2 linked regions of the Drosophila melanogaster genome follow. The protein of the gene in region 1 interacts with the protein of each later gene in a pairwise test. Each region holds a gene or a part of one and is shown in the gene's direction. Other genes may lie near its edges.

What was found.
Region 2: the proteins of sug (region 1) and croc interact in a two-hybrid assay, tested with the Drosophila melanogaster proteins (one large-scale study listed by BioGRID).

Annotation. Positions count from the first base shown.
Region 1 is NT_033778.4:12,927,272-12,931,165, forward strand, and holds sug (sugarbabe), read left to right. Parts: upstream 1-1,588; 5' UTR 1,589-1,660; coding exon 1,661-2,070; intron 2,071-2,512; coding exon 2,513-3,257; 3' UTR 3,258-3,373; downstream 3,374-3,894. UniProt on the Drosophila melanogaster protein: Transcription factor which represses a set of lipase genes involved in fat catabolism.
Region 2 is NT_037436.4:21,473,630-21,478,163, reverse strand, and holds croc (crocodile), read left to right. Parts: upstream 1-1,684; 5' UTR 1,685-1,969; coding exon 1,970-3,496; 3' UTR 3,497-4,031; downstream 4,032-4,534. UniProt on the Drosophila melanogaster protein: Required for the establishment of head structures.

The DNA of each region.
Region 1 (3,894 bases):
GCTCTGCAGCGCCGGGGTAGAGCGAAGGTTGCTCCCCCAGTGATTCACGGGACCAGACAGCGCCTCCGCCGCGCTGATAACGACGATAGCTTTATGGCTGGCTGATAGCTGATTGCCATAGCCACCACCCAGCAGAGCGCAACTCCGCGTCCCGCCGAACCATTCGCGTCATGGCGCACCAAGTTTTCGGGCCAAAAGATATGGTACCATGGCGGCATGTGGCGGCGTTTGTTGACTTGGCGTGAGATAACCAACCACCACCACCTTATCGCCGTCCCAGACGCAGCGCCCACACACTGAGGTGAAACCGGCGGGCGAACCCAAGAATGAATTTCTGGGTTTTGGGATCGTACGCTTGCATATCAAACACATGTGGGGGAAGTTTAGTATTTCTGATAAAGTGATAAAATTATAAATGAGAATGTGTGTGGGGTTTCACAAAGCTCAAGCTAGAAAATATCACTTTTGTTTTCAGTGTACTCAAATCAAATTTAATAAAATTAGCGTGATTTCCTTATGCAACACATCAGTTGGGGTTTTATATCCATTATAAAGTTCGGAATTCAAGGAAGCTTCTAAGCTTTAACTTTATAAACAGCTATTAAGCTTAAAGTCTAATTTTAACTTTGTAATAATAAAACATATTGAGAAATTGAGAAATATATTACAGAATTGAAATTAAGTGGCTTCCACGAAAGTTTTTATCCATTTCCCTTCAGAGTATAGGAATCACATAACGATTCAAATTGTCTGCTTAAACTTTTGATTCTTTGTCTCAAAACTATAACTATTTACTTTTTAGTCACAAGCTCGAATATATAGTTAGGTCAGGAAAACAATTAATTGTTTTATTAATAAATCTATTTATGGAAATTATGCAAGGCGATCTTATAGTGGCCTCTTTGTAGATTCTAGAACTAGCCATTCTCAGGCAAAAGATCTAGATGCGTCTTCAGACGTATTAGTCCATTCGCTTTTCTCTGAGTGCACTAGTACGGCTCCAAGAGTTGACGTACCTGTTCCAATGAAGGGGTGCGATTCGGATCGGGAGTGGGACTCGGATCGGTACGCAGGGTGGGGTGCGGCAGGGAATTCGCTACGCGGTACGAAGTGCAAGTCAGGCAGGCAGGCAGGCAGACGGCACCGGGCGATAAGACTTGCCCCCCAAAGAGCGATCATCGGGCACACACATGTGCCTGTGTACATATGTGGACTGGCTGGCTGGCTGACTAGCTGGCTCTCCACTTGTGCGTTGATAAGCGGGCCCAGACCGTACCCTGGTCGCCCCCCAGTCACCCATCTGCGTCGCAGTCCATCCAGCACAGAGTTTCACTCACGTAGTGTGTGCTTTTGCCCCAGATCCATTTGCCCCAGCGGATTTTTTTCCACCGCTCCACCGCTACGCACCTGCTCCTCGGCGCTCCACTGTTTTGGTTCCGTCTGCCGCCGTCTGCTCCCCCTGCCCCTGCCACGCCCCCGCCGGACCCGTCTGCAGCCTTCGAAACTGATAAGCATACCCTGTCCGTCTGGGCGACCCCTTATCGCCGTCCAAGTTTCGCATATTACCCGAACCTCTGCAGGCGAGCGGCTCATTCGATCGGCAGGCGCTTTAGCGAAAGCAACAAATTTTCTCGATCAGCACCCACCACAGACAACAAACATGGATATAATACAAAAGTCAATCTTCAACAGCGGCCCACACAGCAGAGGCATCTACGAGCCGCCTCTCGGCTACTTTACGCCGTATAACACACCACCGTACATAGCCGCCTACTCGGATTCCGGCAGCTGGTTGGCGGATCACCACCAACACCACCAGCAGCAGCACCAGCAGCACCAGCAGCAGATGCAGCACATCAGGTTTCCCACGCCGCCCATCACACCGCCGCGTCCCATCGCCGGATACGGATATCGTCAGCGCACCCAGTCCGTGATCATGAAGGCTCGTGGCCAGCAGGACGAGCTCTGCCGCAGTCCAGTGGAGTTCCCCGACGACAGCAAGTCCTGCAGCAGCAGCAGCGAGTGCGGCACCGCCAGCGATTTCGTATGCAACTGGACAGATTGCGATAGGTAAGTGTCAACTGCATTACAGAATTATTGTGAAAATTTCAAAGAAATTTCCTAAAGGGGTCTCAGCACTTTCGTAATGTTTTTTAAAAACGAAAAAAAAACTCAGCATTATATTTTCTTTTGAATTTTGAGTTGCCAGAGAAAGACATTGAGTAGTTCTAGAAAAATATAAAACACAGTTCCCCCGCGTTTTACCATTGAAACTGATTACGCATTCGAAAGAAATAAAAAAAAAACCCCGGAGGCAGCCTGGCATTTGCTGAACTGTTGGACTCGACTTTTTGATAAACCCTCCAATAGCGATAATAATGTGATTTTGGGTCAAATTGATAGAGATGCAGTGTATTGTTTATGGTCAGCAAGTGTATTAATATTGGATAAGAAATCAATCCAGTACATGTTATTTTCGTACTAACCACTTATATCCCTTTGATCCTTGCAGAGTTTTCGACACCTTGGATGCACTGGCACAGCACGTGACCCAGCGACATGCGATCGCCAGCCTGACAGACGGACTCTACTATTGCCGCTGGCGGGGATGTCAGCGCAGCGAGCGAGGATTCAATGCCCGCTACAAGATGCTTGTCCATACCCGCACCCACACGAAGGAGAAGCCACATCGCTGTCACCTGTGCGAGAAGTCCTTCTCGCGGGCGGAGAACCTGAAGATCCACATTAGGTCACACTCGGGCGAGAAACCCTACAAGTGCAGCTTCGAGGGCTGCCAGAAGGCGTACTCGAACTCCTCGGATCGTTTCAAGCACACGCGCACCCATTCGATGGAGAAGCCGTACATGTGCAAAGTGGCCGGCTGCCAGAAGCGCTACACGGATCCGTCCTCGCTGCGAAAGCACGTCAAGACCTTCAAGCACAGCATCCACCTGATCGCCAGCCAGCCGCTCACTCTGCCCAGCGTACCCTGTCTCCTGGAGGCCAGCAGCGAATCAGCGTTCACGTGTCTTCCCGCTGCCAGCAGTGTGGAGTCCACCAGCTCCTCCTCATCCGCCCGCTACTACGATGACTCCAACAATGAGCCCAGCGATTACTCGCTAAAACCCAAACAGGATGCGGAATTCTCGCCCAGCTATTGGCTAGGCGATAGACAGCATAGCTATCTCCACAGCGAGGACTTCTTCGTTAAGATGGACGTGGAGTCACCGCTCGACCTGCGCATCCATCGAATCTGAACTGGCCAATCGGTTCGCCTCTCGTCTCTCTTCCCCTTCTAGTCATTGCGCTGTTTCCCAGCTCTTGTCACCACACCTAGATTACTATTTAACGTGATTAAAGACTGTTGTAATTGAACTGCTCTAGTTTGGCATGGTGGCATGGGAGTATCTTCGGGATTGATCTGATCTAGGTTCCTTCATAGTGGTTCTGGGCAAAAAGAGTATTTCAAAGATTTCGAAAAACCATAAGCTCAAGGTATGGGAAAATCCCCAGTTACAGGCGATTCGTCACAAAACTAGTGACCAATCTTAATCGACTTCGATTAGAATTTATGATCCAGACAACCTTTGTTTGGAGGAAAATCCCCATTTCGAATGGCTGGGCTAATAGAGCGCTAGATATTGGAAAATATTTATTGTTTAAATGCGCATCTAGACGAGTTTTTCACACAACTGTTAATAACAGATTTAATGTTTTTTTTTGCGGTTTATAGGAATGTTAGTTGATCTAGATAACCTCTCGTTTTTATACAAACAACAAGAACAAACAAAATAAATAGCAAAAGTATTTCACATTTGAAATAGATGAATACACTTTAAAAGCGATATCAGGTTTTACACTATATATAGGCATATATATATACTGGCAACATAC
Region 2 (4,534 bases), on another chromosome or scaffold:
TTAAATTATCCAAATATAAATATGTGCGTGTTTGTTTTCCCTGTGTCTAATAACCAGACAAACACCCAGCCCATCCCATTCGGCCTCTCGCGTACACACACTCACATCCACACGCACACTTGCCCTTGCCCAAATAAACATATGAAATTTACTTTAAAGCTGACAAAGTCAATAAAAAATATTGTTTTAATAAGCAGAAAATAGAAATGAAGTCTGCGAAAAAAACGACACTGCAGGACTCAACGAGCAGAGGAGTCGCGAGAGGGAAGGACGAGGCCGAAGGACTTTTTATGTTTGACTCTATCGTTATTTGGCTTGTAAATTGGTTAGTAACCCTTTCGATGTTTGGAAATGTGGAGTGAATGAGTATCAAGTCAAAAGGCGGATAGGAGATAACATAAAAACAAGTGCAATTTTAATATGTTATAAATTTATGGTACAAAACTCTACTTGTATTAACTGTTCAATTATTATTATCTCTGATTTAAACTAATCACGCCAATAGAGCAATTTTTAAATAAATAACTCGCTTCATAATAATATTGCAGAAGGGAAAAGTTTTCTACATATATATATTCATTCTTTTTGATATTAGATACATTTTAGATATTAGAAAAATTTCGGTTTTCTTTTTTAGGACATTTTAACATGAACAACAATTTAATGAATCTTTATTATATAAGGATCCTATATATAGGGTGATACAATAGTTCTTGAAAAACTGTGGAAAACATGTTTGTCTAATATCCTGAGTATTCTTGAAATTCTTACCTTAAATAAGCCTGAAAAATTCCTGCCCTTTGCACACCAAAAAAACCATTGTCAATTCAAGCGCCCGAAAAAGGGAGTTGCTAAAAACTTAATGCCTTGCCCTCAACGAAAACAACCTTCAAACGTGGCCCTTAACTTGAACATCTTGGCGAAAACCCATCAAACTGCAAATTAGCAGGCAACTTTTTGGTCTCTGCCTCTCCCGAGAAGACGAACAACTTTAAGCTGAGATCGAAAGAACTTTATCACTAATTTATGCCGAAGTCATTGGAAGGGTGAGTTAAGTGGGTGGTTGGCTCGTTTGCAGCCCCTGGTTCACCACCACCTCCACCCACTTGTGCCTGTGCTGTTGGCTTTCCCAGGTGCCTCTCATAGTTGATGTGGTTCTCGCTCGCTCTTACTACCATTGTATCTAGTATATCATGAATGCGAGATAGAGGGAGCGAGCGAGAGCGGAAGTGAGAGAGAGAGAGGGAGAGAGAGAGAGGGCGATAGGCCGTATTTTAAGCATTAGTTTAAACAACAAAAACAAGGGCTTGGAAAAGCGACGGGTAGGGGAGGAGTGCCCACAGGACACACACCGTAGCTAGCTAACTATTTTTTCCTATACAAAAAAGAAAGCATGAATGGCGTCCGCTCTCTCTCTCTCTCTCTCTCTCTCTCTCTCTTTCTCTTGGCCACACACAGATACTTTCGACGCAGCTGTGTTTGCGGGCCCACTTCACTTACTGACTGCGAGTGGCAGCCATCGTTGGTTGGCTGCAGATACACATGCAGATACGGATACATTGTGCGGGTACACACAGATACTGTGCGGCAGCGGATCGAGATACTTTCTGGTGCGGGCGACGCTCTGCCGACGCAAACGCTTCTGCTCGATGCGAGCTGTGTGTTATTTCAGTTACACAGATTCAGTATCAGACGTGTTACTATACCGAACGGTTCTGCGCTCGCTCTGCGCTCCCATTTCCCCTGTACTACAAATAGATGCATATATATATATATATATATATAGATTTATATATCTGCACTTATGTGAGCGACTTGTTTAAGCAAATATTATCGCTAGAAATAATAAGAAGCAGCCAGTGGTGAAGTGATTAAGTTCGAGAAAGAAAGCAAGACAAAAGCAAGAGAGTACGAAAATACCAGAAGGCGGCAGTGGAAAATCGATCAGAAATCCGCCGGAATCGCCGCCATGCATACGTTATTCAGCGACCAGAACTCCTTTACGCGCCACTATGCCCAGACCGCAGCCGGTTACGGATCCGCATCCGCGGTGGCGGCGGCCAGCAGCGCCTCCGCTGCAGCAGCGGCACATTACGCATACGACCAGTACTCCCGCTATCCGTACTCGGCCAGCGCCTACGGCCTGGGTGCCCCGCACCAGAACAAGGAGATTGTAAAGCCACCTTACTCGTACATCGCCCTGATAGCCATGGCCATCCAGAATGCGGCGGACAAGAAGGTGACCCTGAACGGGATCTATCAGTACATCATGGAGCGATTTCCCTACTATCGCGACAACAAGCAGGGCTGGCAGAACTCCATTCGGCACAATCTTAGCCTCAACGAGTGCTTCGTGAAGGTGGCCCGCGATGACAAGAAGCCCGGCAAGGGCTCCTACTGGACTCTGGATCCGGACTCCTACAACATGTTCGACAACGGCTCCTTCCTTCGCCGGCGTCGCCGCTTCAAGAAGAAGGATGTGATGCGGGAGAAGGAGGAGGCCATCAAGCGGCAGGCCATGATGAACGAGAAGCTGGCCGAGATGAAGCCCCTCAAGCTGATGACCAACGGCATACTGGAGGCCAAGCACATGGCCGCCCATGCTGCCCACTTCAAAAAGGAGCCCCTAATGGACTTGGGTTGTCTAAGTGGCAAGGAGGTCTCCCATGCCGCAATGCTCAACTCCTGCCACGACAGCTTGGCCCAAATGAACCACTTGGCTGGCGGCGGAGTGGAGCATCCCGGCTTCACCGTGGACTCACTCATGAATGTGTACAACCCGCGGATCCATCACAGCGCCTATCCCTACCACTTGAACGAGGACAACTTGGCCACGGTGGCCAGCAGTCAGATGCATCATGTCCACCACGCTGCGGCGGCCCATCATGCCCAGCAACTGCAGCGTCATGTGGCGCACGTGGCCCATCCTCTGACCCCCGGCGGCCAAGGAGCGGGAGGCCAATCGTCCGGACACTCGCCCACCACGATCTCAACTCCGCATGGTCCCGCGCACGGGGGTTGGTATACCCCGGAAACGCCACCATCGGAACCCGTTCCTCACAATGGGCAGCAGGGCACACCCACCCACCCGGGACATAATAACAACAACAGCAGCAGCGTACTCAACCACAATGGAGTGGGCAACGGTGGCGGAGGCGGCGGCGGTGGCGGTGGAGGATCCTCCAGCGTGCTGACCAGCAGTCCCACATCGGCACTGGGTTTCCGCGACATGATCTTCGAGCAGAACCAATCCTGCCAACTGGACACCGGTAGTCCCACCGGCAGCCTACAATCCGCCAGTCCACCTGCCTCCGCATCCGTGGCAGCGGCATCAGCGGCAGCAGCGGCGGCGGTGATCAGTAGCCACCACCACCACCATCATCACCATGCGGCGCTTAGCGGGAACCTGGGCCAGCTGGGTCAGCTGAGCAATCTGAGCCACTACCGACCGCATGTGGGCCACTACCAGGAGTACGGCATCAAGTACGGGGTGTAAGCCTGTGGGCTGGATTCTCGGCGACTGGGCTGGGCTCTCTTGTATATTCCTGTAAATACATACACCATATAATATACCCAAGAACGAGTCTACACAGCCTGGGGGTGGTGATCCCTCGGGGTCCAGAGTCTGCTATCTCAGATCTTTTTGTTTCCAACTTGTTTTCGATTTATCCGTATACGAAATAATGGGGGACATAGCTGTTAAGCAACCGCATTAACGTATTGTATTGTATTAACTGTATTTGTAATTGTAGCTCGTAATTGTTATCGAATTTAGGCATAGTCCCAATTGTCTGCTACGCAATTTGTGATGGGGTTTTGCTACACAGAACATAAACTTAAATTAGAGCATTTTGTCAATAACTAAAACTACCGCATCGGATCGATCTATCATCGCCTAGTACACTAGCCTAGCCCACGTAAGCAATAATAAATTATACAACTAAATCGTAGCTATAACATAACTATCAAAACTAGCGTACCACCAATATGAGCCGAACAAAAAGTGTATTGAAAATATGTTAAAATATCTCAAATCGTGTGTTTTATTTGGCCCCTTCATATTCGGAGCGACTTTCGCTATTCCATCTGGCCATTGAGCATTTGGCTGGCAAAACAGACTTTTTACCCCGAAACTGGATAGCCCGCACGCAGAATTCCTAGATAAATAATTATTCAAGGCGTGTCCGTTTCGAGCCCCGAATGCATGACTCAACTGGCCAATTGTCACTGGAAGATGGCTTTCTGGGTAGCCGTATCATATCATTTGGACTCACTCGATCAGTTGGCTGCAGTTCCGATGGACTTGCAAACGTGGACATATGTCGTTTGTCAAGCGATCGGATAGAAAACACTTCCCCCCTTTCAGTGGAAATAATTATGCATTCGACCTTTTGGAATAATAAATGAAAATTTCCAGGAAATTGTATGCTTCATATGCACGACTAGCTATCGAAAGGTATTTACAAAAAAGGGTAACTTTAGTATTTATAATATTATATTCACTGTTAGATTGTGTAGTCTGAGCTTCTTTCTG